Mus musculus: one gene and its partners. The protein of the gene in region 1 binds, or shares a complex with, the protein of each later gene. Links are inferred from orthologs where the notes say so. Each region holds a gene or a part of one and is shown in the gene's direction. Other genes may lie near its edges. The genes, in order: Med19, Med7, Med16, Med31, Med26, Med18 and Med21.

Region 1 (4,250 bases):
AGTATCTGTTGTGCTCTTTCATTTTGAGTTAGTGTCTAACTATGTAGTCCTGATGGATCTAGAAATCCTATATAGACCAGGCTTACATCAATCTTAAAGAAGTCCACCTGCCTCTGTCTCCAGAGAGCTGGGATCAAAAGGGTACAACACAAAGCCTGGCAACAGTACTGTATCTTTAATGTAAACAAAGTTAATCTTATTTGAGAGTCCCAGAACATGTGAGGCCTGCCCAAGGTTATATCAATACCTTTAGGCCTTAAGTCCTGGTCATTGCTATTTTAGCATAAATACCTGTATAGGTATTTATTAGCTCTATGTCCACAACCTTTACGGCAAATGTTAATTGTTCTTACATACTGCTTCTTAGATGGTTGAGGGGCCTCCCTCCCCACACCTCATATTTTTGTAATCTTCCCTGTTTTTCTATCCCACCGCAGGAAGATAGTGTGCATAGTTACTATGCCCAGAGTATTCGATTTTCCATCCAAGTCATTTATTTTGTTGAGTCAGCGACCTTCGTCTGCCAGTCTATCAGAGAATTGAATAAGGTTAGACAGCACTTTCTGAACGCTGCGTTTCCTTGGGAAATCGCCTAACTACACTGTGATCACTTCGTTAAAAATTAAACAAAAAAAATTTAATGGTATTTCTACTATTGGCCTTTTCTTCACTGGCGCCCCAGGTAGCTTGGAATCACTGTAGAATACTGTTCATCTGTGATGGAAACCCTGTAATCTGTTTCTCCATCTTAAACACGGAGGTTATGACTAGATAACGGCCTAGGCTCTGCACTCAGTCTGTAAGGCGGCTACATCCCGAAACCTGCTCCCAGATTTTCACATGCACCTGCAGGGCAGGGATGGTCAAGGTCGAGAGCTGGTAAGGCAGGGGGCGCTCACCCAGTCAAAGTCACACGGGTTGCCATCTTCGCGTTGCGTGGGGAGACCATTGCAAATCGGTGGCAGTTTCCTCACGAGGAGGAAAGCAATGGAAAGCAGAGCAGACAGAAGGCAATAAGGTCGGGCCAGCCATCGAGAAAGCCGCGGCACCGAGTACACCAAAGCAATCAGAGGCGCAAGGACAGCCATCTTTCCTGCCTACTCTCTCGCAGGCTCACTCCCGCTCCCCAAATCTTCGTCCTCCGCCCCCACCAGCAAGGCTTCTATTGGACCAAATATCAGATGCAACGCCTCCAGACCCGGATGTAGATCTCTTATTGGATGCTATAATAGATCAGAAAATGAATTAAATAGTCTATTGGTCCTCATCGTTGTCGCTTTTCTAACTGAGTCATTTTATTGGCTATTAGTCTGCGAACCACCTTCCTAACCAGTCTCTCAGGCGACGGAAGTAAGTTGCCGGAAGATGGTAGGCGGGGCTTAATGTATCCAATGATGGGACACTCTTAGACGAAGAGGGTGGTACCCTGTGAAAGTACTGTCCAATCAAAGTAATTAACGCCCGATCCCGGGTAACCAGGAGCGCAGAGTGCTATGGAGAACTTCACGGCACTGTTTGGAGCTCAGACTGACCCCCCACCGCCACCAAGCGCCCTAGGCTTTGGGCCTGGAAAGCCACCCCCGCCACCCCCTCCTCCTCCGGGAGGTGGTCCAGGCGCAGCCCCGCCCTCGACGGCAACCTCGGCCCCCGCAGGAGCGGATAAGTCGACGGCTGGAAGTGGCCCCTTCTACCTGATGCGGGAATTGCCAGGTGAGTAGTAGGCCAAGAGTAGCCACTCAGATTGTAGTTCAGGTGAGGGTGTGGCTAGCCTGTCCCGCTAGGTGTGAGATAACAGGGCTACGCGGGGCCAGTGGGCAACAGTGTCAGAAGCCCTTTGGCGATTCACAACCCTAAGGGATAACTTGATTTTCTGGGGTGGGTTTGGGTTGGGTGTGAATATCTGGGACAACCTTCAGCGAGAAGTTCTGTGATCCGGGTTCTCTGACTGCCGTTTGTGACTCTATAAAAACGTGAGCCGTTGTTTAGAACTCGGGAGACCCGATTTAACATTTCTGGAGACACTTAAGATTTTAGTTTAAAGTCTGTCACAAACTTGTTGGTTTGTAGCAAGTTGCCTTCCTTGTCAGGGACTCGGAGATTAACCTGTTCAAAGAAAGGATTAGAATTGAATCAATTCTTACTTTCATAAAATTATTCGGGGAAATTGTGGTGGTGGGGGGCGTGGCTCAGTGGTAGAACTCTTGCCTGCCTTGCAAAAGGCGTCGCGTTCACAGAATCATTTCTGAGTAGGTAGCATTCAAGAATAAACAAAGCCATCCCTGTTTGGATAGAGAGGAGATACTAGGTACAAGAAACTAAATCAGGAGACCTTGGGGGGCGGGGCTTAGAATATCTGAGGGGCAGAAGACACATTGGACTCAGGAAAGCGGAAAAAATCCAGTAGTGATGGGAAATAGGTAGAGGCTTTTATAAGGCAAGGTAGGTTGTTTAAAGTTCAAATTGAAGTCATTTCAATATAGGTGCAAAATGATCTAATTTAGTGATTTTTAGATATCCAGCAGAAACATGAAAAATGAAAATAGGATAATCAGAAGTTGCCAGTCAGTGTTCAGAAAAGGAATGGTTTGGACCAGGGCTTAGTGGTCGGGAAGCAAATGAATACAGGATACATGTTAAAGGTAAAGCCTACAGAAATAAAGAACTAAATATACACAGAGAGAGGAATTGTGAGTGTCCTGTACAAAGGGTACAGTAGTCTGAGACTAGGAAGGCATGGAAAGAAAAAATTTGAAGAGCTAAAACTTAAGAGGCGTTCTGGACATGTTAAGTCTTGGGGAACTTGTAGTACTCCATACCAGCACTCAGGAGGTGAAGGCAGAAGGAGCTATAGTTCAAGCCCAGCCTAGGAGACATGAGATCCTGCTTCAAAAAAGAAATAAAAACCTCAGTTATCCCAGTATTTATTAGCAAAATAGTTTGAAGTTCACATCAGTGCAGTGTGTAACAATATGTAATACTTACTATAGTCCTTTTAGATAGATAGGTATTGTCTGTATTTTTTAATTGAGAACTGAAGCATAAAGAAATGACTGTTAAGGCAGTTTTCTTTTTCCTTATTTTAGTTGTTTTTTGTTTTTTTTAAAGATATGTATATGACTACACCATTGCTCTCTATGGACACACCAGAAGGAGGCATCAGATCCCATTACAGATGCTTGTGAGCCACCAGGTGGTTTCTGGGAATTGAACTCAGGACCTCTGGAAGAGCAGTTGATGCACTTAACCACTAAGCCAGCTCTCCAGCCCATCTTACTGGGTTTTTGAGACATGGTCTCACTCAGTAAGCCTGGCTTGTCTCAAATTCATTGTAGACTAGGCTGGCCTTGAACTCACAGAGATCCACTTGCCTCTACCTTCAAGTATGTACCATCATGCCCAGCTTCTTCCAGCAGTTTATCTTTTGCATTACCTGTTCTAATTATACCATTAATAGATCAGTTGATAAGTACTGAATATCCAAGGTATGGTGGGATTATGAGAAGTAAAGATTATATACATATATATATGATTTATTTATTTATTATATGTAAGTACACTGTAACTATCTTCAGACACTCCAGAGAGGGCATCAGATTTCGTTATGGATGGTTGTGAGCCACCATGTGGTTGCTAGGATTTGAACTCGGGACCTTCGGAAGAGCAGTCGGCACTCTTAACCACTGAGCTATCTCACCAGCCCCGAGAAGTGAAGATTATTAAGCCTAGTTTTTAGGTAGCCTATTTTTTGAGATCCAAAATACATGGTTTAAGGATTGTGCTTATATTTTGTGGGTGTCAGTCTTATTTATTTATAGTTCAACACAGGAAGCAATGTTAAAAACTACCTGATAGTTTTCAAAATGTGTTAGCCAAAATGACAGCAAGAATAAGATGTCATTTGAACTAAACACTGAAGAATTTATATAGGTAAACAAAATTAGAAAGTTGTTTTCTCAAAGGAAATAGTGTTACAGTTTTTTGTTTGTTTGTTGTTTTTTGTTTTTCGAGACAGGGTTTCTCTGTGTAACCCTGGCTGTCCTGGAACTCACTCTGTAGACCAGGCTGGCCTCAAACTCAGAAATTGGCCTGCCTCTGCCTCCCAAGTGCTGGAATTAAAAGTGCCACCACTGCCTAGCTGTGTTACAGTTTTGTTGCTGTTTTCTACCCAGAAGATAATTAGATCTGCTGCAGACCCTCTGGTCCCGCAAGATCCATCTGGATACATTAGAAATTTTGCATGGAAGATTAGT
Region 2 (4,167 bases), on another chromosome or scaffold:
TGCCCAGATAAAAGGACATGAAGAAAGGAAACTGCTCTTTGGTTGCTTGCTCTAACACTCACTGGCAACTTCATCTGTACCACTGCTGTGCCATTCCTTTGCCAGTATTAGAACCAAACTTCTTTGGGATTCCAACATGGACTGAAGACCTGTGGCTCTCCAGGAATCTTCCAGGTCTCCAATGCCAGGTGGGGGTCTGTTGAGACATCCAGCCTCTTAGACTGAGCAACTACAGGATTCTCAGCCTTTCAGGGCTGAGACAGCCATTGCTGGACTACTTGAACTGCATCTTGTAAGTCACTCGGATAAGTCATATATACATATATATCCATGTGCATACACACATTCATTCTATCAGTGTAATAACCCCTAGTACACTTTCAGTAAGATAATAAATCTGTGGGTATAGGAAAAAACGAAGAGCCCTTACCTTTTAGAGGTTCATACCAGACTAGAGACAAAATGATGGGGCTCATATAACTATGGAAGTTGGTAGTGAGTAGACTCTTCTTTTGTTTTTATGCCTGCAATGCTCCACATATTTAAAGGAAGAAACTGAGACATTCTTGTTTGTGAAGCAGAGCTGTTTATCTTACTTTTAGTTTGCAACACTGCATCTTACGACTCCCATATCATCTGTTAACAACTCTTCTCTCTCTCCTCCCTCCCCCTCCTCCTCTCCCTCAGGGAAAGGCCAAAATGGAAATATTTCTTGCTAGTCCTGATGGCTCATTTCTATACCTCTGGCTTTCCAGAGGCTGGGAAGAGACATCTGAAGCCAGCCTGGGCTACACAGTGAAATTACCCACTCCCTCCATTTTAAAAAATTATATTAAGTTTTTTTCACTTGTCAATTTGTGGAAGGATTGTTATAGACATCTTTGAATTCCTAAATGAAAATAAAAGTGAATGGAAGGGGGAAAATGAAGGTTTAGGATGTTATTCTTAATCATGTTCACAAATATCTCCATATATATGAATATATCATAGAGTACAATCTTGCTTTTAAAAAACATTTTTGATGATTACATTAGTATAATTTTTAAATATATTGCTTATCTGTATTTTCTGACTTTTACATAAGGCAAGTATTTAATTTTAAAAGTCTCGTATAAAAGTGGGGGCTGCAAGGAATGGAATTACTAGAGAGTACTTTCTTCTACTAACAAAAAGTACGAAGAAGTATTCTCCTGACCTGACCAAGAAACCAGACAGCGGATCTTTCCCGAGAGAAGCAGGAGATGCGAAAGTGCGCATGTGCAACATCTTTAGGGCGGGAGTAGGACCTGCTATAGGACAGCCTTGGTAGCCAATGAGAGGCCCGCGTCAGAGGCTTCTTCCTGAGAAGGCAACCGGAACTTGTGCTTCCGCTGCGCTGAGGAAAAGTCACTACCGGAAAAGCAAGAAAGAGCTGAGGTGAGCGGGCGGCGGCGGTTGGCGACCGCAGCCTAAGTCTGTCTCTCCGCCCCCGCGGTTGCGTCTCTCCCGGCGTGGAGCGCCGAAGTCCGGCGCGGGACAGCCTGGGACGCCCGGGCTAGCCTTCCTCCCGGTTCCTCCGCGAAGCCTCCCCGGGGCCTGAGGCAGGCGGCCGGCCGAAGGTACACCGAGTACCGCTCTCTCCGGACGACAAGCCAGACGGGAGGTTGGGAGGTCCGAGTTCTCGTCCCCACGCCACGGGCTTTTATAATGTCGTGGTCTTAGCCTGCCCTGTCGCCATTGGTAAAGTGACAGTAGCCGCCTGGGAGCGCGGGGGCTGGGGGAGGGGAGCGAGAGCCTGGGTCGGAGCCGGATTCATCCTGTACCAGACTTTCCGCGGGGACCCAGTCACGGGGACAAAGTGAGCCAAGTGTCTGAGCTTGCGGACCCCCCCCCTCCCAAAAAAAAAAGCACCCACGAGACACTGGATCTTGTTAGTGTTAGCGAGTCACGACCTCCAGCGGCTTTGAAAAGTTCAGTTTGAACCGGTAATGGGCGGTTTCTGTAAGGTGGCCCGCTCTAACGCGGGATGCCCAAGTTACGGGGGTTTGCACTTGCGCCCGAAAAAACTAATGCGGATTCCCGTTGTACAATTCACCCCCTTCTGCACGTTGGGAATTGGCTTCTTGTCTCTATAGTCAAATTGGGAGTAGTCGTACCGTCCTGATGATTGGAGTGAGGATGCGGATCTGTCACTTACTAAAAACCTTCGGGAAACTGCGGGTTTAGTGTGGGTGTGGCTAAGGGAAGCGCAGATCCCCAACTTCAAAAGCCTTCGGGGGATGAAATTTAGGCCAGGTGTTGACTTGAAGTGGCTACAAGTAGACTTTCGTGTTCTAGGTATATACACCCTGAATTAGCTCTAACAGTTAGACAATCTGAAGAATTTGGAGTTGCTTCCCTCAGATTTAAGGTATTGGCAGTGTACATCAGTGTGAGAAAGCACTCAAGAATCTTCTCATTGTATAATGTACTTAAATTGGAAAAAGCAAAGGTTATTTTGACCATATATGTTGGGATTTAGGTTTTAAATTTATGTAGAAAAGATGTAAAAATTGCTAATGTGTTAAGAAAACTGTACTATACTAACTCTACTATACTGTAAGATGTGGCTTCCTTCAGAAACCTTGGAAAATATTTGAAATATGAAATTTAACAACGGTGTTTTGTTATAGTTGTTTGTTTGTTTGTTTTTTTGAGACAGAATTTCTCTGCGTAGCCTTGGCTGTCCTGGAACTCACTCTGTAGACCAGGCTGGCCTCGAACTCAGAAATTCACCTGCCTCTGCCTCCCAAGTGCTGGGATTAAAGGCGTGCGCCACCACTGCCCAGCAACAATGGTGATTTTTGTCAAGATGTAAAGAGAGTTTTAAGTGTTTGGGTTTGGAGACCACTGTACAGTAAAAAGGAAAGTGAACGACATGAGATTAATAGATACCATATGTAGTTTGATTATGGGAAAGAATAATAAATAAGGCATATGACATTTGCATATAAATGTTCTTTTCCAGAGTAGGTTCCAACATATGCCTACCAAAAGGAGTCAGACATGAAAAAATAGTATATCATGTACCATATAAAAGCACCCTAAATACAGACCCTTTTTCCTTAGTTCTCAGAATATGTTTGTTCTTTGAGAATTTTATACACACACACACAAACACACATGTGTTTTGATCATACCCGCTTCCACACTCCTCTAATACCTCACAGACCACTACCATATCTTACTCCCACTTTTATATATTTTAAAAATATTTACTTAGTTTTTAAAGATGGATCTTTAGCACCGGCTGGCCCAGCCTCACTGTGTAGTCCAAACTGGCCTTGAACTTAGAGCTATCGAGCTTCTCAGTCACAGGGACTACAGCATGACCCATCATGACTACAGCGGGAACCATCATGCCCAGTTTAGGTCTTTTTAAAAAAATGTTTAAAAATAACAGTAAATAAAGTCCTCTGCCAAACCTGTGGTGGACTCTGCTGCTTGTTTTTCCACTTTGTATGCTTTACATTTGTCAGATTACCTAGAATATGTGAGTCCTTAGTGCTAGCATCCTTTTCTAAACAAGCAGAGCAGATCTTACTTCACCATCACGTGAAGTCTGGCAGGCAGCAAGAGTGCTCTTTAACAGGTGAGAAAGACTTGAAGAGATCAAAAAAATAGTAGGGTTTCTAAGTGATACTGTTTTGTGTTCTCAGAATTTCCTTCATAGACAAAGTTTGCATATCTCGACTTGGGTGTATAGTTAGAGATATTAGGGCAACAAGGCTCTCACTTCTGTTATCTTCACTGCAATAAACATAACAATTCAGCATTTTTAAGTCTGATTCAGTTAAACAAACTATCTGATAAAAACCTGCAGTCGTGGGTGAATACAGTTAAGAGTCAGGACACAGCAGGCCGTAGGACCAGAGCAGTATTGTGAAGAAGTCATGGTACCTGGGAGTCAGTGACTAAGTAGTTTAAACGGTGATTCTGCAGTAAAAATGACCTTGCCATTGTCCACTGTGAGTTACAGAACCTGTCTTTACACTTGAATGTTAGAATCATAATTGTGGTGCTATCACAAAGTAGACAAAGGGCAAACCTTTTGGAAGGCAGAGTCTTTGGTGTGCAACTTTCTGTACCTTCCTTGCTCTATCCCATTAGCCTAACAAGGAAGTTTTTTTGTTTTTTGTTCTCCCCCCC
Region 3 (4,147 bases), on another chromosome or scaffold:
TCCTCTCCTCCTCCTTCTCCCCTCTCCTTATGCCAGGGGTCCAGGACTTCCAGCCAGAAGCCTCTGACCTTGTGTTCCCTGTCCCCTCCCCTGTCCCCTCTGCTGCTCAGCATAGCTGTGGTCACTGCAGAGGTCTTATATGTTCAGCAGGCCTGGCCCTCCTTCCCTTCCCCTTCTGTGTGATTCTTTGAGCTTGGGGGAAAGGGACGATTTTAATAAAGCCTTGGTGCTCGAGTCCTGTCCCCGTGTTTGTCTTTAGGTTTGGTGGGGGTGGGTGAGACTGGGAGATCACTGAGGGCACGAGCTAGCAAGCTGGACACGGGGGAACCTCAAAGTCTCTATAACATTAGTTCATTTTACAACATGTAAAATGCTTAAAGATGAGGTGCCAGGTTGGGGTTCGATGGGGAAAGCAATTGGTTAGCATGCTCAAAGCCCTGGGTTCCATCCCCAGCACCATTTAAACCACATGGTGACCAGTGACAAGTGATTTTGAGGCCAGCCTGGGCCATGTGGTAGACAGGTCTCATTGTTGGACACCTCTGAATCCTAGCACTCAGGAGCCAGAGGCTGATGGATCTCTGTGAGTTCAAGGCCAGCTAGTCTACATAGCCAGGGCCATACAGTGAGACCCTGCCTCAAACAACAGTCACTTGAGGGCCAGCAAAATGGTTAAGCACGTTAAGGTGCTTGCCGCCAAGCTTGATGATCTGAGAGCAAGAACCAACTCCTTGTCCTCTTACGTGCACTGTGGAAGGCACACTTATACACACACACACACACTCACACAGGAGCCCGTGGCTTGGTGGTACACCTCTGTCATCCCAGTAGGTAGGTAGAGGCAGTCACTGGAGAACCTCATCAGTGTCAGGCCAACCTGAGCTATACAGTGAGCAACGAGCTCTGCTGTCAAGAAACAAAATAGAAAAAACGTGAGTGAGCCTCCAATAGGATGTTAGGGTGCTTGTCAGTTCCTCTGAGGAACAAAATATGGAACGCTTCACGAATTTGCGTGTCATCCTTGCGCAGGGGCCATGCTAATCTTCTCTGTATCGTTCCAATTTTAGTATATGTGCTGCCGAAGCGAGCACAAACAAGGCTTTTCTCCAAGGGATATTTATAGTCTCAAAACACACAATTACTTTACAGTTAGGGTGAGTTTCCTTTTGTGCTGTTTTTTAAAATAATAATTTAGTATTTGTATCTCTTATAGAAATCCAAGCCTATCATGTAAAATGTAGCTAGTATTAAAAAGAACAGATTATCTGTCTTTTATCGCACATTAAGCCTCTATAGTTACTAGGAAATATTATATGCAAATTAACCGGGGCAGGGGAGTAGCCGAGCTTCTCCCACAAGTCTGTGCGAGGGGGCCGGCGCGGGCCTAGAGATGGCGGCGTCGGATCCCGGGCGTTGGGGCGAGTGTGGACCGCGGCCGCCGGGCCGACTGGGCGCCCGGGGCGGACAGGTTAGTACGGCGTGCGGGGTACGGGACTCGTGGCTGGTGCGTTTCAGGCTAAAACCGCGAGCGGAAGGCCGAGGGGCGGGGCTTGCGGGGTCAGAGGGCGGGCCTGGGAACAAAGCTTGCTGGGTAGAGGCCGTTGTGGGAGGGATGTGAATAGGGGGAGCCTAAGGCGACGGGGTTGAGGAGGGGGCGTGGTCCGAGGGGCTGAGCCTCCCTGGGAGGGGCGTGGCCTGAGTTCAGAAGTTGGATGGAGGGGCAGAGTCTGAAGAAATAAGACTGATAGAGAGGGATGTGGCCTAGGGAGCGGAGTCTAAGGTGGGCCGGGGTTGGGGGTGCTAAAGATCTGAGATCGATGCAGAGAGGTGACCTAGTAGTCACAAGCTGAGCAGAAACTGAGGCTGAATTTACCAGTTTGGTTTGGAGGCGGAGCCTAGGGTGATTAGACAATGTGGGTGGAGCTTAACGAGCTTGGGCGGGAGGTGGTGGAGGTGTGTGTGTTAAGACTCAGGATTTAGCCGGGTGTGGTGGTTCACGCCTTTAATCCCAGCATTTGGGAGGCAGAGGCTGCGGATTTCTGAGTTCGAGGCCAGCCTGGTCTACAACGTGAGTTCCAGGACAGCCAGAGCTATACAGAGAAACCCTGTCTCGAAAAACCAAAAAGAAAAAAAAAAAGACTCAGGCTTTTTGCCAGGCGCACGCCTTTAATCCCAGCACTTGGGAGGCAGAGGCAGGCGGATTTCAGAGTTCGAGGCCAGCCTGGTCTACAGAGTGAGTTCCAGGAGAGCCAGGGCTACACAGAGAAACCCTGTCTCAAAAAAAAAAAAACAAAAAAAGGCTCAGAATTTGAGCCTTGGATGTTAACTTGTTGAGAGTATTGTGTGGCATGGGCTGCTGCGGGGTCTAAGCTACTAGGTCCCAGGCAAGGCTTGGAGACTGAACTAGAGTGTAGACTGAGGCCCAGACTGAAGTGGTAGGGGTGGGCCCGGTTGTGTGTGTGGAGGGTGCTTAGCGTTTGTAGGCTGAGCTCAGGCTGATCTGGGTTGCCTAGGGAGGAGTGACCCCAGGCGGGGCATCATGGATTTTATAGCAGGGCTCTCGCTGGAGAACATTCTAGACACCCTTTAGCTGGGAGCTGCTATAGAGCACTGCCTCCCTTTTCCCCAGGAGCCAGGGACCGTGCTGGGTGCGGTGGGTATGATGGACCTGGCCTATGTGTGCGAATGGGAGAAGTGGGCCAAGAGCACGTACTGCCCGTCGCTGCCCCTGGCTTGTGCCTGGTCCTGCAGGAACCTCATTGCCTTCACCACAGACCTACGCAATGATGACCAGGGTGAGTGCTGGCTCTCCTTACCTGGCTAGGACCTGGGGATCAAGACCATGTGGGTGGGCTTGCCAGGTGTGGCTCCACTGTGCCTCAGATCTGGAAGGCTCGTGGTGGCAGAGCCAGACACTCTGATGCCAGTTAGAGGGTTTTGAGAGGCCAGGGAAAGCAAGGTGGGAGAAGAGACATACATACACTGCTCACCATCTTCCAACAATGTTAAGACATGTGGCTGCACAGGATGCCCTGTCCAGGGACTAGCAGCATGGCGGAGCTTATAGGAGAGGTGCACTGTGGGTGGGGACACAGGCACTTCGAGCTACACTGACCTCAGTGTTCTTTTTCCACTGCAGATCTGACACACATGATCCATATCCTAGACACGGAACACCCCTGGGAAGTGCACTCTGTCAGCTCTGGCCACAGCGAGGCCATCACCTGCCTGGAGTGGGACCAGTCAGGTGAGGCCAGGGGGTGTGCTCTCAGTCCAGAGCCTGGCGACAGCCACCACCCGCTGGGAGTCCAGAGTGGGGGGAAGGCCCCTGACACAGCTCTCTGGTCGCAGGGTCCCGGCTACTGTCTGCTGATGCTGATGGACAGATCAAATGCTGGAGCATGGCTGACCACCTGGCCAACAGCTGGGAGAGCTCGGTGGGCAGCCAGGTGGAGGGGGACCCCATCGTGGCCCTGTCCTGGCTGCACAACGGTGTAAAGCTGGCCCTGCATGTGGAGAAGGTGAGCGTACCACTGGGGGACCTAGGGGTAGGTGGATGGAACCACAAGTGTGCAGCTCCCGTGCTCACTGCCAATTGCTGTGGGATACCTGTCAGTACCTGCCATCCCTGAGCGCCCCTGACCCTGAAGCTCCCCTTTAGCTATGTTCCCTCCCTGTACAGTGAATCTGTTTAACAGATATCTCGTGTCTGCAGTGGAGTCTTAAAATGGCTGCTATCTCCAACAAGTTGCCTTTGTAACCAGCCAGTGACTGCTGTTCTCAGATTCCAGTCCACTTTGATTTAATGACAACCCAGAATCCCCCTGGCCGTCTGCATCCAGAGTTCAGCCAGTTAGAAGTGGGAGCAGAGTTAGACTCGGGGCCTCTGGGAGTCCTTTTTACTCAGTAATGGAGGGAAAGGGGCAGCCTGTGAGGAAGGAGGCACAGCACAGCCTCCGTTCTGTGGTTGCTGCAGGTCTGTGGGGCCAGCAGCTTCCACATTGCCCGCCTCTCACCCAGTACAAAAGGCTGGGCCTGGTGTCACAGCCCAACCCCAGTACTCACGAGGCAGACAGCTCTCTCTGAGCTCAAGGCTAGCCTGGTCGACATATCCAGTTCCAGGGCAGCCAGGGCTACACAGTGATAC
Region 4 (4,300 bases), on another chromosome or scaffold:
TTCTTTTGATGATCTCAGAATAAAATTCAAGCTCTTTACTGTAATCCCAGAAGATTTCCAAGACTCTATATGAAGTGGCATCTTCCTCCTTTTTGTTTTCTTCCTTATACCACGCTCTCATATACTAACTGATCTTTCTCTTACATAAACATCTTTGATTTTTAAAAAAAATGTAGACTTTCCCTTCTGTCTAGAATGCACTTCCCTCTAGATCCTGATATGGCTCACTGTCCACTCACACAAATCTCGGACCAAATGTAATCAGCAAGGCTTTCCCTGACCATATTCTCTAAAGAGTTCCCTACTCTCTACCACAAGACAGACAGCCTTTCCTTCGCGGGAATACAACAGCATGTTGTCTTACTTTCCCCTTTGTTGCATGTCTCTTCATTAGAGGAAGATCCTAGTCTTTTCCACTGCTCTAGCTGCCATGCTCTAACTACTACCTAGCATGCAGTAATACTCAGTTACCATCCTGTCAATCTCACGCCTCAGGCCAAGTGTCATGGCTTCTTCTTTACTTTCCCTTCCAAGATTATTAATGGTTTTATTGATTGTTTATTAATTGTCCTGTTTTTTCCTATACCCCCTGATTTAATTTTTTAAGTGTGGGTGGAATACTATGTATGACAACATGAGAAAATGTATAATGAAATATAAGTATTAATAAAGGCCAATTAATAATGTATGAAAGATGATACCTTGCCCTGTAGGTTTCAAGCAGGTATATGATCAGGCCAGCGGTCAAGAATCATGACAAGTTTGGCCCCTCTTTGCAAATTTCAAGTCGTCAACACATCCTAGAGTGACCTAAGACTATAAAACTTACCTGGTGTAGAGACTCAAAGAATCTCATTGTCCATCAGCCAGGTTTATACTGCACTACCAGTCTGAAACCTTCTGTGCTGGCTTCAAGTTAATAGCACACTGGGGTCAACAACAGGATGGTCTAAGGTGCTGCAATGTCAATACATGTTAACAGCCCCCAGAAACCACAGCCTGTTTCTTACACTGATTTATGGGTTCTTTCCATGAAACCAAAGATGCTCGGTTCTCCTGGAAGATGGCTGGCTGGCAACTCTTCAGTCCTGGCTAAGGACCTTTGGCACTTCATCGAGCCATTCTGGCACTCTGCCTGGCTGGGCTCTCAACACGGTGCACAGTAGTCTCCACCCTCAGGGATGACGACGCCCTGACGTGGCGGGAGGACGTTTCCGTGCACTGCGAGGAGGTTTCCACGTGCTGGGAGGACACCTCAAGGAACTGAGGGAGTCGCTTCGTGGAGGGGGTGAGGGAGGGCCCCTCTCGGTGGCGCTGGGAGGTCTCCACCTGCCGGGAAGACGTTCGAACCTGCCGGGAGGACGTCTCCACGCGGTGGGATGACGTTTCCTCGCGGTGGGACGACGTCTCCACGCGGACAGTCGATGTCTCCTTGTGGCGGGTGCTTTCCACTCGCGGGGCGGAGGACTTGCTCCTAAGGGGCGAGGCCATCCTGCCCATACACCTTGGTCAGGTGGGACAAAGAGGCCCAAGGATCATGCTCTGCGTCACGTCACACAGGGAAAGGTGACGTCAGGGTGGTGTATTACGTCGGGGTAGGTAGCAGGACTCTGAGACCTAAAAAATGAGAAGTCCTCCGGCACGCCCCGCTCGATATCTGCGCGCGCAGCCGGCCGGGTCTGCACAGATAGGTGGGGCTAATTTTCCCATAAGTGAGGTTGTCCCCGCCCTCGTGTCCCACTCTGCCCCGCGACCGGAAGTAGGAGCCGTGGCTTCCGGATTCTCACCAATCGAAGTCGCGGTTCGGTCGGGGCTGGTGGTGTTCGCCTCACTCTGATTGTTATGGCCGCGGCCGTCGCTATGGAGACAGGTACGTTGTGACTTGCACCCCGAGTCTTCACCCCAAGGGAATGGTCCTACGCCCCGAAATTCCCTCCCTTTTCCCTTTTCCTGCGCTGTCTTTCGGGTTCAACTTGGCATCCTTAGAGTTGGGACCGGCGGAGGAGAAGGCTGTGCTGCTTCTCAGACTATGGTCTGTGAAAACATCTTTGCTCCTGGGTTGCTCAAACCCCTACTCCAACCCTGGCTCTTGGGGCCGTGCAGGGCCGTGGGAGAGGACTGAGACCTTCCACTGTCTGTGCTGAAGGTACTCCCAAGAACTTGCCCGAAATATCGATAACCTGTGTATTCTAATGCGGACACCGCCTTCTCTCCATTGTTTAATCACTTTGCATCATGCTTCGGTTTTGTGTAGCACATTGATTTTGCTTAACGTAATCACAGTTGATAGTTGTGGTTATAACAACTTAGGGAACCGCACAGCTATTACAGACTGTCCAGTGATCTCCGCTAACAAAGTGGCCTGCAGGTGGTAAATTCCCATTCAACTTATTTTTTCCTCAATTAACTTTAAAGGATTTCTTTACTATTTTTTGTTTTACTATTTTTGTTTTGGAAACAGGGCCTCATTACTTAGTGAATATATATATATATATATATATATATATATATATATACACACACACACACACACATATATACACACACGCATATACATATATCTTTAATTTCTAAGAAAGTCTCTTCTGCACTTTGATATTTGTCTTTTCTCCTAGATGATGCTGGAAATCGGCTTCGGTTTCAGTTGGAGTTGGAATTTGTGCAATGTTTAGCCAACCCAAACTACCTTAATTGTAAGTTAAGTACATCACTAACTTAAGCAACTAGCTCTTAATTTCTGAGAAGAGATGCAGTTTGTAATACTATTTATTACTTCGATGTGTTTGAATGGGATTTTATTTGTTCTGGTCTGTAAGTTAACTGGGCAAACAAAGGCTTGTGTTTTTAATTCCTTGTGTTCTGTTGGTAGGGATGTTAAGAGCTACTTTGTTTTAGAGATTACTAATCAGTAGTCCAGCGGTTGGTTGACATACGGATTGTTTCTTTGTGTCTTTCAGTTCTTGCCCAAAGAGGTTACTTCAAAGACAAAGCTTTTGTTAATTATCTTAAGTATTTGCTTTACTGGAAAGAACCAGAATATGCCAAATATCTAAAGTAAGTTTAATTTTTATAATCCTAAATCTGTGTATACTTTATCATAAATACAAAGTGCTGATACTGAGCAGTTTTCTCTGTGTGGGAATGGAAAATGATATTTTGAATCTTTCTGCTTTTAGTTAATGTAAGATACTGTCATCTGTAACTTAGATTATTTTAGGAATTGCATTTATTTCTGCTACCATTCTTACCTCACTCCCTTCAAACAGAACCAAACAACTGTCTTCATGGGAGCCAGCTTACTCTCTAAGTAATATAAGCCAGAACACACCACTTCTGTTCATGCAGGCTAGCTAAGATCCAGTCAACTGGTTTCAGACTATAGTTCTAATGTAATTTGGTGTCTAACCTTGTCACTTAGCACTGCCCTTGTCTTTCTGGATTTTTAATGCCTACCAAACTATAATCTAGGAAGGTAGGAAGTATTGTTTTCTGGGAGTTTTAGAGGTACTGCCCTTCTTTATAGTGAGTGTTCTTTGTTTCGAGCACTGTGCTAAATGTATTGTACACATTAACTCACTGTAAAAGAACAAACACGGACACTATCAAACTCAATAGCTTTGACTTAAAAAAAAAAAAAGAAGAAGAAGAAGCTGGCACACACCTTTAATCCCAACATTTGGGAGGCAGAGGTGGGCACATGAATTCAAGGCCAGCTTAGTCTACAGAGCTACTTCCAGGGCAGCAAGCTCTACACAGGTAAGCCCTGTCTAGATGTGCCTCTCAAAGGAGGAGACAACAGAAAAACCAGAAGTTTAGCCTGGCATCCCTTTAATCCCAGCTCTCAAGAAACAGAGTCAGGTAGATCTCTATGAGTTTGAGGCCAGCCTGGTTATGTAGCAAATTTCAGGCCAATCAGGTCCACACAGAGAGACTCTTTTTTGTTTTGTTTTGTTTTGTTTTGTTTTTCGAGACAGGGTTTCTCTGTGTAGCCCTGACTGTCCTGGAACTCACTTTGTAGACCAGGCTGGCCTTGAACTCAGAAATATGCTTACCTCTGCCTCCCAAGTGCTGGGACTAAAGGTGTGCGCCACCACTGCCCGGCAGAGACTCTAATTTTAAAAATGAGAGTAAAACATTTCAAAAATTTCTTTTTATCCTCGTTACCTTCCTGACTTGATTTGCTGCCTGTAGATTTGCTCTTCATGATGCAATTATAGATTCCTTTAGGAATCCAAATGATAGACTTGAAGTTATATTAGAAGATATAAAATGTTACATGCTAGCAAATTTTCAGACCGGA
Region 5 (3,500 bases), on another chromosome or scaffold:
ATTGGGGCTTGGGCAAATTCCTTTCATCAAGGACTGCTGGGTCAGGAGTATGTGGGGACCCAGGGCTCTAAATATACCAGAGTGAGGTCACTAGATGGAGATGAAGCCATGGAGCTCAGGAGCCCAGTGGCACCAAGATCCCAGGCCAGGGAACACTTGATTTATCTTCTCTTAGGAATGATCTCCTCATTGCACACTCTTTGCATGGAATCCCTGCCCATCCCATTTCAGAGGTGAGTACGACAGCCATGTCTCTAGGTAGGCCACCCATCCATGGGGCAGCAGGACCAATGTTGTAATCTGGATGTGTTTACAGCCCCAGCCCCAGAGGAAATATCACATGTGGAAGGCCTTGTTCCCAAGGAAGGGCCTGCCTTGTTGACAGAGGGATGGCTTAGTGAAAGCTGTGCGACAGTACAAGGGCTGCTGACTGCTCTCTTCTCAGTACAGCTTCTCTCCCAGGAGGCAGAGCCCTGAAGCAAGAGAGACATGGTGACTGCCTTCCGCTGGAAATGGACAGACTAGAAAAGCTGGGGGATACCCATGGCCTATAGGCTATCTACCTCCTAGTCTGGAAACCAACCTAGGCCTGGTACCTTACCTGACAAGACATGGCTAAGGTGCGGACAGGAACAATTCTGGGCTATACATGATCAGGATTCTGGGGCTGGTATTGAAGGTAGGTAGAGGGCTGGGAACACAGGGACATGATGTACTCCTGAAGCTAGGAGCAGCATTTTAGGTGACAGCCAGTAAGAAAATTGGGACCTGGACTTGAATTCTGTTGGTATCTCTCTGAGTATGGATCATCCCCAAGAACCTCCAGTAAGGAGGCAGCTCTCTGGCCCTAGGCTATGGGTAGGTGAGACAATCAAAACATGAAGGGATTCAGCCAACATAGATCAGGGCAGCAGCAGGAAACCTGAAGGTCGATCTTCTGGTCACTAGGTTGCTTGTGGTATGTCACATGGAACAACCTCCTGGGGGCTACTAGCTGACACCTCCTCCCAAGTGCTGGAGCTGGGCGGTTCCTCATGAACAGTCGGTAGGGTTGCAGACTATTTTTCCATGTTACCCAGTGTGGCAGGTGATATCATCATACCCTTTCGACATGTGGCACAAAGATAGAGAGGACTTAGGGCTATGGACAATCAGCTTTGTTGGTATTCTGTCTAAACTCCACCCCCACAGTTCCTGACTGCTTGTCAACCTAGAACCTGCAGTGCCATGTTACTCTGCCCTGTGCTCTGAACTCCTCAGGAACATCTATCATCCCACAACTGCAGATCCTCTCCTGCAACCATTTTAGAGCTTACTTTCAACTTCCATGTTTCTGTCTGGGGTTCATTGAAGTAGTTTCCCATGTACATGTGTATGGAATACATGTGTGCACATGCATAAAGGGCAGCTCAAGTTGGTGCAGGGAATCATCACTCACTCCTCCGCCTGATCACTGAGACAGGGTCTCTCAATCAAACCTGGAGCTCACCAATATGGCTAGTCTCACTAGCCATATATATACATCTTACAGTTTGTGACATCTTGCTTTGTCCCCTCTTGCTCTGGAAACTCCTCTTCACCCACCCCCCCCCACTCATGCTTTGCTACTGTGTGTGGCTGTGCTGCTGGGATGTCCAGTCACATCAGTCATAGCTTTTTAGTCCTACTCTTTCCAGAATGACAATCCTGGCACCTGCCCAGTGGAAAGGCTGGCTTAGAGTGGGATCCCATATGTGAGCCTGTAGATCATTAGCTTCCTGTCACCATGAAGCTCAGCACTAGTCCTCACCCTGCTTGTTGTGTACAGAGCCTCTTAGTGTCTCGGGCCTTCTCTCATCTGGTTTCATGGGGCTGCATTATTGCTCAGGTGGTGTTCCAGAGGCCCTCCTAGCCATGTGACATACAGATCTTATAGTTTGTGACATCTTGCTTTCTTGAGAGTCTCTATGAAGACCTTGATACAGTCATCGGGTTCACTGGTTATTGTGCCTATCTTTCCTTTCCTTTTCTCTGAGGCTTTGTGTTTTATGTGGTATGTCCTTCAGCAGAGCACCCTGATGGCAGTGGGGTGTGCCTGCATATGGGTAATGCTGAACCCTGGGAAAGGGTAATAGGGATTTTGGTAGTGCTGGTATCTTGCAGGGCCCTAGGCTGCTGGGCTTTCCATGGGAGAAGGCAGAGCCCTGAGCTGATACATGGTTCTTTTTCTTCAGATCCGGAACATGGTGGCAGTGTTGGAAGTGATCTCCAGTCTGGAGAGATACCCCATCACCAAAGAGGCACTGGAGGTAAGAGCCCTTGCCCCTACCCTGGGCATAATGGGAGGTAAAGGTAGCCCCAGACAGCTTTTCTTCCTGTGGGTTAGGCTCTTACTCAACTCTCCAAGAATGGAGGCTTCTAATCTCACAACTGGGCTCCTTCCTGAACTGTGCTTTAGACAACTGGTTAGTGGTACTGCCCTCTCTTTGGGTAGGAAGTCTTAGGCTGTATAATGTGCTCACCCAGACATCCTGGTAGGGCCACCCACGGTTATATTTGTGGTCTTGATAGCACCTGAGTCTACAGGCACCTGGAACCGGTAGACCTGTTTCTGAGAAAGCCATTGAGTCCCAGATCTAAAGATTCATTGCTGCCACAGTGCTGGACATACCCAAACTATATCCAAGACGCTGGCCCCTTGTAAAAGTATGTCACTCTCTTGTAGGAGACACGACTAGGGAAGCTCATCAATGATGTCCGCAAGAAAACCAAGAATGAGGAGCTGGCCAAGCGGGCCAAGAGGCTGCTACGAAGCTGGCAGAAGCTCATCGAGCCTGTACACCAGAACGAAGTGGCACTACGGGCACTGGCAGGAGCTGCAGGCTCTGCCAATGGGGGTGCGCACAACTGCCGACCAGAGATGGGAGTGGCTGGTGCACCCAAGAGCATCCATGACCTGAAGAATCGCAACGACATCCAAAGGCTCCCTGGGCAACGGCTAGATAGGCTGGGCAGCCGTAAGCGCAGGGGGGACCAGCGTGACCTGGGCCACCCAGGGCCACCCCACAAAGTTTCCAAAGGCAGTCCTGACCCTCTGGTTCCCAATGCATCCCCTCTCCCCACCAATGGGATCAGCGGGAGCCCAGAGAGCTTACCCAGCCCCCTGGATGGCAGTGGGCACTTGGGCCCTGATGGCAGCCGCCTGGAGCCCAGTGATAATGAGAAGCACAGCACCAAGATTCCCGTGAACGCCGTGCGGCCGCGCCCCAGCTCTCCCGGCTTGGGCAAACCCCCAGTTCCCTGCCTGCAGACCAAGGCTGCACAGTTGCAGCAGTTGGACAGGGCAGATGAGTCCCCAGGCCCTCCCTATCCCAGGGGGTCCTCTCGCTGCTCCTTCAGCCCCCGGAACTCACGGCACGAAGGCTCCTTTTCACGGCATCGGAGCTCTTACATACCCAAGGGCCAGGTGTCCAGCCCTTCCCCATGGCCCCAGCCACCGGACAACACGCAGGTACCATCCC
Region 6 (4,154 bases), on another chromosome or scaffold:
GGGAACCAGGTACCCTTGCCTGAGGTAGTGACCTTTGGGGAAATGTTAAGGAGGGAGGGGTCCTGAAAGATTAAGGGTGCCTCACTCTATGTCCCTTATGTGTTTGGCATATGTACAGAGTTCAATAAGTACTTGTTGAATTTAAAATCCTTATCTATCTATCTATCTATCTATCTATCTATCTATCTATCTAATGTATATGTGTGCCTAGATATATGTGTACCATGTATGTCCTTTAGCATGGATGCCAGATGAGGGTGTCAGATCCCTTGGAACTAGAGTGGCAGGTGGTTGTGAGTCACATGATATGGGTGTTAGGGCTGAACCCAGGTCCTCTGAATAACAGCAAGTGCTCTAAACTGCTTAGCCATCTTCCCAGCCCCTAGTTATTTATTTATATTTTGTGTTATGAGTGTTTTTGCAAGTGTGTATGCATGTCTACCACACGGATGCAGTGACTGATGTAGTCAGACAAGGTAATAGAGCCCCTGGAAAGGAAATTATAAATGGTTGTTAGCCACTATGTGGGAGTTTGGGACCTCTGAGAGAGCAGCAGGGGCTATTAACTGCTCAGCCATCTCTCTAGCCCTTATTAATTAACTTATTTATTTATTTATTTATTTATTTATTTATTAAAAACCTCACAATATTGTTTAAGCGTTGAATGGCTCTGCTGGAGAGATCCTTACCACAGCTTCCCAAGGTTCTCAGATTTGAACTGTGCCTGGTCCCATGTATTTAAAGTTATGGTATGCACTGTAAATTGAACAAGTTTGCTGTTGTTTTGTATTAAACTTATGGCCTTGCACATGTCAGACAAGGCTCTAGCACTGAGCTGTTTCTCCAGACCCTTGAAAGCACACAAAATATTGTTCCTGCTGAGGTCTATATATAAATACACAACGCTGTGGTTAGCGTTTCCGATTTACAACATACCCCTTCCTTTTCTTTTTCTTTAATTTAATTTTTAACTTATTCATTTTACATCTCTTTCACTGCCAGCCCCGCCACCTCCGCCTCCCTTCTTTTTCAATGTGACTCTCCTTCCTCGCTCCCCCCAGTGGCTGAGTTCAAAATTTAAATATGGTATCCAATCGGCTTTATGAGATCTGATCAAAACATCCAGGTCGTCGAAGCTGAAAAAAAAAAAAAAAAAAAAAAAAACGTATCCTAGAGCTGTCCTATGACAGTCACCTTCCACGGTACCACTCTAGACTAGGACCCCAAAGCAACAGCAGCCCCGAACCTTGCGCGTGCGCTCTTGCACACCGGTGCCAGAAGGCGGGCGCGTTCCTTGCCCTCTCGGCACCCTTACTTTTCGGGGCGGTAGCGGAGAAGTTTCCTGTCCCTCAGCTTCCTACCGGAAGTGCTGAAGGGAGAGTTTGGCGGTTTCTCTGGCTCTGCGCTGGCGGCATTTGGGGGTGCGGATTGCGGGTGTGCACGCGTGGATTTAATTCCAGCTTTACAAGGATCTGTAGCGCGGACGGAGACGTGTTGCTAGTGTAAGTGCACACGTGTCCCGGCTGCCCGCGTGGGAGGACCGGGACAGTCACTCTAACTTCATATTTCCCGCCTGGCTCATTTGCAGAGGCGTTCTCATAAAGGCAGAACCAGTTCTAGTTACATCGCTCGTGTGCCCTGGGGCCTTTCCCTGAGTCTGCATGGCCTCCGCATAGAGTGAAGGGTGGACAAGGTCCTTAGGTCTCCCTCGGATCTTTTCTTTTGTTTTTTCTTTGAGACAGTCTCACTGTGATGCCCTAATTGGCCGGGATTTGCTATATAGACCAGTCTAGCCCGAAGCTGCAGCCGTCCTTCTAACTCTGTCCCCAAGTATTGAGATTACAGATGTTCCCCCCAACACAGCCGGTTTTTATTTCTTTATGTTTGGAAACGAGGCCTCTCAGTGTAGCCCAGTGTAGTTACCATTTTTGAATATGAATGTCGGTTTCTTTCGAGCCAGGTAGTGGGTGGGGGAGACGAGGGCTGTGGGGTTAAACACCCTTGGTCTTATTTTAAACGAGACAGTAGGTTTCGGAACAAGAGGTTACATAGCTGCCTCGAGATTACATAGAAAAACGTTTATAAGGTTCAGAACTTGATACTAGATGGCTATTCCGTATCTCCGGAGCTAGAACCCCTCTTATTCCCGAGTCACCCGTTCTTGGAACCGGCTGTATAAGCAGATGTGCAAAGTTAAGACTGAATGAGCTTTGGTTTCAAGGCCACTGCCGCAGCAAACAGGGTATGGACAAGTGTGACTTTTCCAGGTGGATCCTGTGCTTCTCCGGTTGGAAGATCTGTTTGCAGTTCTGTTGTCTTGAACCTAATTAGAGGCATCATGGAGGCGCCTCCAGTCACCATGATGCCCGTCACTGGGGGCACCATTAACATGATGGAGTACCTCCTGCAGGGTAAGTCAGCCAAGGAGCTTGTGTTACCAAGTTTTCAGTTTTTTCTGGCTAGAGCAAGTTGAGATGACTTATAGGCAACTGTAGGGTTCCTGTAACTGTGTTTAAAAGAGGGTGGGTGGGAAGATGGCTCAATGGCCAGAAACTCACTCTGTAGACCCTTCTGGCTGCAGGGGCCTGGGATTATAGATATTTACCACTATTGTCCTATTGTCTGTTCTCTCTCTCTCTCTCCCTCTCTCCCTCTCTCTCTCCCTCCCTCCCTTGCTCTTTCTTTCTTTCTTTCTTTCTTTCCTCTATTTTTGTTTGTCTCCGTATAGTTCTCGCTGTCTATAGACCAGGCTGGCCTCGAACTCAGAATTCAGAGGTCCATCTGCTCTGTCTCCCAAGTGCTTGGGATTAAAGGCACAAGCCACCACTGCATGACTTTCATTTTTTTTTTTTTTTCATCTTGAAAAATTAAAACTCAGGCCCGAGGAGAAGGCCCAGCCGTTAAAAGCACTGGCTGCTTCTTGGTTCAATTCCCAGCACCTACATGGCAGCTCACAACTGTGTGTAACTCCAGTTGCAGAGAATTTGATGCCCTAGTCTGGTCTCCATGGATTCAGGCATACAGGTAGTTCACAGATGAGCTTGCAGGCAAAACACTCCTTCTTACACATAAAATTTAAAAACAAAAAACAAGAACAAAACAAAACAAACCAAAAAAACCTCATACCGAGTCTCCCTCTCACCTCTCCACTGTGTTTCCTACCTTAGCTGCTTAGATGCCCCACATGAGTGAGGTCCCCAACTGGCTTATTTCTCCTAGCATTATATCCTTGATAAAGTCATGTCCTATGACAGAATTTATATTGTTTTTGTTGTTTGGAAGCAGTACTAAGGAGCCCAGGCTGATTAATTTTTTTCAAGTATGATTAAAATGATTCTTTTAGATTTTTAAATCTTATTTTATCTGTATGAGTGTCTTGCCTGCATGTGTGGGAGTCAGAGGTCAGACAAGTATGTCCAGTTCCCTGAAAAGGAGTCGTGGACGATTATGAGCCACCGTGTGGGTGCTGGTGGACACCGAACCCAGGTCCAGCACTCTTAGCTGCTGAGCCTCCTCTCAAACCCCCAGGCTGACCTCTAACTGGCTGGGTGTCCAGGAGCAGTGTTAACCTCTGATCTTCGGGCCTGAGCCTAACTGTGTGCATGCGCTGTGCATGCTGACTGGGCTGTGTCTGTTGTTGAGTTAGCATTGTTATTTCATAGTTCATTCATTTCGGTACGTGTCTTAGCTTTTTGTTGCTCCACGGCCTCCATTTTAAATGTGTATATGAGCACATCACAGTGCCCTCACCTCTCCTAGTACAGTTGGGCTGGGCATCTGGTCTCCTTCTCATTTTTGGTTACAAAGAAAACAGCTGATACAGGTCAGGGGACATGTGGTGGTTTTATCTTTATATTTATTTTTGGAGCTTCAGTTTTTTTAATTGTTTTTTTTTTTTTTTAAGATTTTTTTGTTTTGTTTTTGTTTTTGTTTTTCGGTTTTTCGAGACAGGGTTTCTCTGTGCAGTCCTGGCTGTCCTGAAACTCACTCTGTAAACCAGGCTGGCCTCTAACTCCAACTCGGAAATCCACCTGCCTCTGTCTCCCAAGTGCTGGGATTAAAGGCATGCACCACCCCTGCCCAGCTTTTTTTAAGATTTTAAAATACCATTTTTAGTTCTCTGTGCATGTGTTTCAGGGGATGGTACATGCATG
Region 7 (4,060 bases), on another chromosome or scaffold:
CTGGGATCCTGAATACCCAGTATAGTCGATGGCTGGCTAATCATGACTATCTGTTGGCTTAAACCACATCTGAGGAGTCTTCTCTGGTGGATACCTCCCAACCTCCTCATCTGTTATGTCCTCCTCTGTTAGGATTCACCAAGAAGGCTCTCTCACGATGACAGTCCACCTTGATAGTGGACTTCCCAGCCTCCAGAACACTGTAGGGAGTAAACGTTCTTTGTAATTGCTTGTCTGTGCTATTCAGTTGTAGCAACAAAAAACAGGCTCACATACCCACCCACCTCCAACTCCAGAAATGATCATCTTGGAAACTATGATAAACAGTTTGTCTGAGTTCCACAAACCAGGTATTTGCAGATTCAGGACTCACTTCCCATCAGAATATCCCCAGGCTAACAGAAATGACCTTTCTGCTATCACCCTTCACACGGAAAACTGTCAGGAAGCCCCAGTTCTAAATTTACATTCTGAAGCTGATCTTTCTTAAGATCGAACCTGCCTAGACCGGGCGTGGTGGCGCACACCTTTAATCCCAGCACTTGGAAGGCAGAGGCAGGCAGATTTCTGCGTTCGAGGCCAGCCTGGTCTACAGAGTTTGCACCTCCTACCTTCAAATGCTCTTCTTCCTCCTTTTCACTTTACTTATCACCCGTTCCTCATCACAGAGCTGTTTAATGCTTTCCATTTCCCCCAGGCACTCCCACTCAGAATTAAAGCACTAATCTAGTCTCCAGTTGGGTAAGCACCTCCTGCCCCAAACTAATTAGCCACCCTTTTCTAGCCATTTTGATTTCCTGGAGAATGTTAATTTCTCGAATTTAAATGTTGTGAATGGCGGGCTGCGAGTATGCTTTGTGGTATACCTGCAAAGTAAAAGCAAAGGAAAACAAGTGTTCCAGATAAACAAAACAAAGAAACGAACGAACAAAAACAAAACCCCTCACAAACAAAACACATTCCAGGCCAGCCAGGACTACACCGTGAGGCATAGCCTCGTCAGAGCTAACAGACAGAATGGAGGAAGCACCTTCCCTTCACAGGCTCGGTCCAGCGTAAACGCGAACCCGTAGCAGCTCAGCCTGCACGCGTCCCTCCTCCCCCACACCAGCCCTGGATCCCACCCGCCTGACGTCAGCAGGCCCGCAGGCTGGCCCCGCCCCTCCCCGGCAGCATGCTTCCTTAACCACGCCCCTCAAGGAGGAAGGCCTGTGATTGGTCCGGAGGCGTCATAAATTGGCCAATCGCTCGCGCTCTAGCAGCTTTTGCGCACCCTTGCGTGCGTGGTGAACATGGCGGATAGACTCACTCAGCTGCAGGACGCTGTGAACTCGGTGAGGGCTTTCCTCTGCTCGCCAGCCTTGCTTTCCTGACGCGGAGAGAGGAGGAAGGGGCGAGGCAAGGCCCCGGGGAGCGCGCAGATTGAGGTCGCCGCGGGCGGCGCACCCCGTGAGGCCTGGGTCTCACGTAGTCCACAGGGCGGGGTCTGAGGAGACGGGCCTGTCCTGAGGGGAGACCGGGCCGGGCGGCTTGTCCTGAGGGGAGGCGGGACCCGGGGGCCTGTCCTGAGGGGAGGTCGGAGCCGCCAGTCTCTCCTAAGGGAGGTGGGACCCGGGGGTCTCTCCTGAGAGGATGTGGGACCTGCCAGTCTCTCCTGAGAGCCATGGGACCCGGGGCCTCTGGTGAGGTGCGAACTTGAGGAAGGGAACGAGTGGCCGCTAATAAGGAGGGGACCCGACGACGGCCTCTCCTGAGGAGACTCAAGGTCTGCGGCCAGGTAGCCAGGAAGCGAGTACTCAAGTTCCAGGGATGCTTCTAGAACTTCCTTTGTGGGGCAGCACACGCCTAAGCACTTTTGTGTGTATCCCTCCCTCGCGTTTCAATTTCAACCTGCCAAACGGATTTCTCCTGTGATTCCACCTCTGAGGCTGAGACAGGAGGATTGCAGCGAGCTCCGGGCCAGCCTGAGCTCCAGTTTGATAGCCCATCTCAGAAAACAAAACACAAAAGACCACAACAAAGTGTTGAGTGTTTGTAGGTTGGTGTATGAGTGACCAGGGCGTGAGCTTGCCTTGCTTTCTGTAGGCCTTCACTCCTCCCTCCGCTCTTGGCGACTCCAGCACCAATGGTTGGAGAGTAACGTCTAGAAGAGGCCAGATCCTGGCCTCTCCGTTTCTTTGCATTTGTTTAAGTCTGCTTTACGATCTTCCCTAAGAGGCTCTTATAGGTGGAGTGAAGCTCTTACAGCACAGTACCACAGAACAGTGAATGTACACAAGAGGGATTTTTGTTTTGTTTTGAGATGGTCTCACTGTGTAGCTCTGGCTGACCTGCACACTGTGGAGACCAGATTGGCGTTAAAAACAAAAAAAAAAAACAGCCCAGTAATCAAAATCTACAACAAAAGCTCCTGAAAACTGCTAGCTTCTCTAACTTTGTCGCCTCTGGCTGTTATTCTGGCTTAATTGTACATGAATGGAAAACTAAATACTGAGCCTGGAATGGTGACCCACATCTTTAATTCCTGTAATCCCAGCACTTGGGAGGCAGAGGCAGGCGGATTTCTGAATTCAAGGCCACCTGGTCTACAGAGTGAGTTCCAGGAGAGCCAGGGCTACACAGAGAAACCCTGTCTCGAAAAAAAAAAACCAAACCAAAACAACAACAACAAAAATAGTGCAACAGTTTTCCATTGGTAATTAAAATCTCTTAGTGTCATTCTGGTTGTAGTTTGATGTAGAAGAGCCTACACAGTATATGCCTGCTGAAAAAAAAAATCTAAATACCTAGTTCTCTGGACAGTGTTTTTTAAACAGGAATGTTATAACAAGGCTTCTTGGTAATTCATCATTTTTGAGAGTACATTGAAATTGTGTATCTACTAGTGGGAAGACTAGTCTATTCTGTGTAAATAAAGTAGTTTTAAAGTTGAGGGGCTATCTCTTAAATGTTGATGAAGTCACCAAGGTACATTCTGTTTTGCAAAGATTCCCTGGGCTGCCAGCCAACCTCTCCCAAGAAAATACTTTTGTAATTTTACAAGTCTTTCTTGTTTTAATTTAAATTTTTTTGGTTTTACAAATCTTAATAATGCTGTGTAGAAGCTCATCTCCTAAGTATGCATATTCATGTAGGTCCTATAGTTAGGATGTTAAGGATACGATATAGTCTTAGGAGTACTGATAATTGAGTTAATATGTATGCCTACTGTGTCTACAGGGAATGTGTTTACAAAGAACTATTCTAGGAGCTTAGAAAGATGTCATAAACTCAAGAGACTTTTAGATGATGCAAACAAACCCCATATGTGGCTAGGGAGTTACAGTGGATTGTTTTCAGCTCTTAAGAGCTAAAGTAGATTGGAACACAGAGCAATATTAACATTTGTTCTGCCATCTGGAAACTCCATGTTCATTTCTATAATATATACAGTACTTGTCATGGAGTTGGTTTTTCAATAAATATTTTTGAACAGATTAATAATGGGTCTTGAATGAATTTACAAGACAGAACACTAGCTGCTGTATTGAGTAAGCTTCATTTATATTTTTCTTTCTTATGACAGTGCTGCTAAATAGAACACTGCAACTTAGAAAGCCAACCAGGTTAGCTTTTCAATGACAATTCAGAATTTTACATTGAAATAATGACAGCAAAACAATAGAAATGTTTATTGATTGGAAATACTAAATGAGGCTTCAGGGGTTAGGACTAGTGAGAACATATGTTTAGTTTGTGAATGGTGTGAACTTATATTCTCAAATTACTTAAATGCAATGCTTTTTAGTTTTGCTTCTTTTGAGGCAGAATCTTATGTAACTCTGGCTGGCCTAGAACTGTCCACATACTCCAGGATGGCCTCAAACTGACAGATCTGAGTGCCTCTGTCTCTGCCTCTCTTATGCTGAGATCCATCATGCCCCAAAAACAAACAAATTTAAGCAACAAGGTTACAACTTGAATCTTGAAGAATACATTTCTGATAATTTACAGTTTAAAAAAATTTTTGTTTTTCATGTAGTACAAACTGGCCTCAAACTCCCTTACATAGTTGAGGATG

What was found.
Region 2: Med19 (region 1) and Med7 share a complex: the UniProt entries of both Homo sapiens proteins name them as parts of the mediator complex. The link is inferred for Mus musculus from reciprocal best matches to the Homo sapiens genes MED19 and MED7.
Region 3: Med19 (region 1) and Med16 share a complex: the UniProt entries of both Homo sapiens proteins name them as parts of the mediator complex. The link is inferred for Mus musculus from reciprocal best matches to the Homo sapiens genes MED19 and MED16.
Region 4: Med19 (region 1) and Med31 share a complex: the UniProt entries of both Homo sapiens proteins name them as parts of the mediator complex. The link is inferred for Mus musculus from reciprocal best matches to the Homo sapiens genes MED19 and MED31.
Region 5: Med19 (region 1) and Med26 share a complex: the UniProt entries of both Homo sapiens proteins name them as parts of the mediator complex. The link is inferred for Mus musculus from reciprocal best matches to the Homo sapiens genes MED19 and MED26.
Region 6: Med19 (region 1) and Med18 share a complex: the UniProt entries of both Homo sapiens proteins name them as parts of the mediator complex. The link is inferred for Mus musculus from reciprocal best matches to the Homo sapiens genes MED19 and MED18.
Region 7: Med19 (region 1) and Med21 share a complex: the UniProt entries of both Homo sapiens proteins name them as parts of the mediator complex. The link is inferred for Mus musculus from reciprocal best matches to the Homo sapiens genes MED19 and MED21.

Annotation. Positions count from the first base shown.
Region 1 is NC_000068.7:84,676,952-84,681,201, forward strand, and holds the start of Med19 (mediator of RNA polymerase II transcription subunit 19), read left to right. Parts: upstream 1-1,450; 5' UTR 1,451-1,493; coding exon 1,494-1,710; exon of another isoform or gene 1,711-1,877; intron 1,878-4,250. Other genes in the region: Tmx2 (thioredoxin-related transmembrane protein 2 isoform a precursor), read right to left, coding at 900-1,088. UniProt on the Homo sapiens protein: Component of the Mediator complex, a coactivator involved in the regulated transcription of nearly all RNA polymerase II-dependent genes.
Region 2 is NC_000077.6:46,435,594-46,439,760, forward strand, and holds the start of Med7 (mediator of RNA polymerase II transcription subunit 7), read left to right. Parts: upstream 1-1,367; 5' UTR 1,368-1,598; exon of another isoform or gene 1,599-1,719; intron 1,720-4,167. UniProt on the Homo sapiens protein: Component of the Mediator complex, a coactivator involved in the regulated transcription of nearly all RNA polymerase II-dependent genes.
Region 3 is NC_000076.6:79,906,139-79,910,285, reverse strand, and holds the start of Med16 (mediator of RNA polymerase II transcription subunit 16), read left to right. Parts: upstream 1-1,347; 5' UTR 1,348-1,390; coding exon 1,391-1,468; intron 1,469-1,695; exon of another isoform or gene 1,696-1,780; intron 1,781-1,949; exon of another isoform or gene 1,950-2,068; intron 2,069-2,629; coding exon 2,630-2,795; intron 2,796-3,139; coding exon 3,140-3,247; intron 3,248-3,351; coding exon 3,352-3,521; intron 3,522-4,147. UniProt on the Homo sapiens protein: Component of the Mediator complex, a coactivator involved in the regulated transcription of nearly all RNA polymerase II-dependent genes.
Region 4 is NC_000077.6:72,212,531-72,216,830, reverse strand, and holds the start of Med31 (mediator of RNA polymerase II transcription subunit 31), read left to right. Parts: upstream 1-1,500; 5' UTR 1,501-1,842; coding exon 1,843-1,870; intron 1,871-2,615; coding exon 2,616-2,693; intron 2,694-2,957; coding exon 2,958-3,054; intron 3,055-4,300. Other genes in the region: 4930563E22Rik (uncharacterized protein C17orf100 homolog), read right to left, coding at 1,111-1,500. UniProt on the Homo sapiens protein: Component of the Mediator complex, a coactivator involved in the regulated transcription of nearly all RNA polymerase II-dependent genes.
Region 5 is NC_000074.6:72,496,311-72,499,810, reverse strand, and holds part of Med26 (mediator of RNA polymerase II transcription subunit 26), read left to right. Parts: intron 1-2,213; coding exon 2,214-2,288; intron 2,289-2,704; coding exon 2,705-3,500. UniProt on the Homo sapiens protein: Component of the Mediator complex, a coactivator involved in the regulated transcription of nearly all RNA polymerase II-dependent genes.
Region 6 is NC_000070.6:132,461,122-132,465,275, reverse strand, and holds the start of Med18 (mediator of RNA polymerase II transcription subunit 18), read left to right. Parts: upstream 1-1,354; 5' UTR 1,355-1,502; intron 1,503-2,267; 5' UTR 2,268-2,338; coding exon 2,339-2,411; intron 2,412-4,154. UniProt on the Homo sapiens protein: Component of the Mediator complex, a coactivator involved in the regulated transcription of nearly all RNA polymerase II-dependent genes.
Region 7 is NC_000072.6:146,641,319-146,645,378, forward strand, and holds the start of Med21 (mediator of RNA polymerase II transcription subunit 21), read left to right. Parts: upstream 1-1,260; 5' UTR 1,261-1,292; coding exon 1,293-1,334; intron 1,335-4,060. UniProt on the Homo sapiens protein: Component of the Mediator complex, a coactivator involved in the regulated transcription of nearly all RNA polymerase II-dependent genes.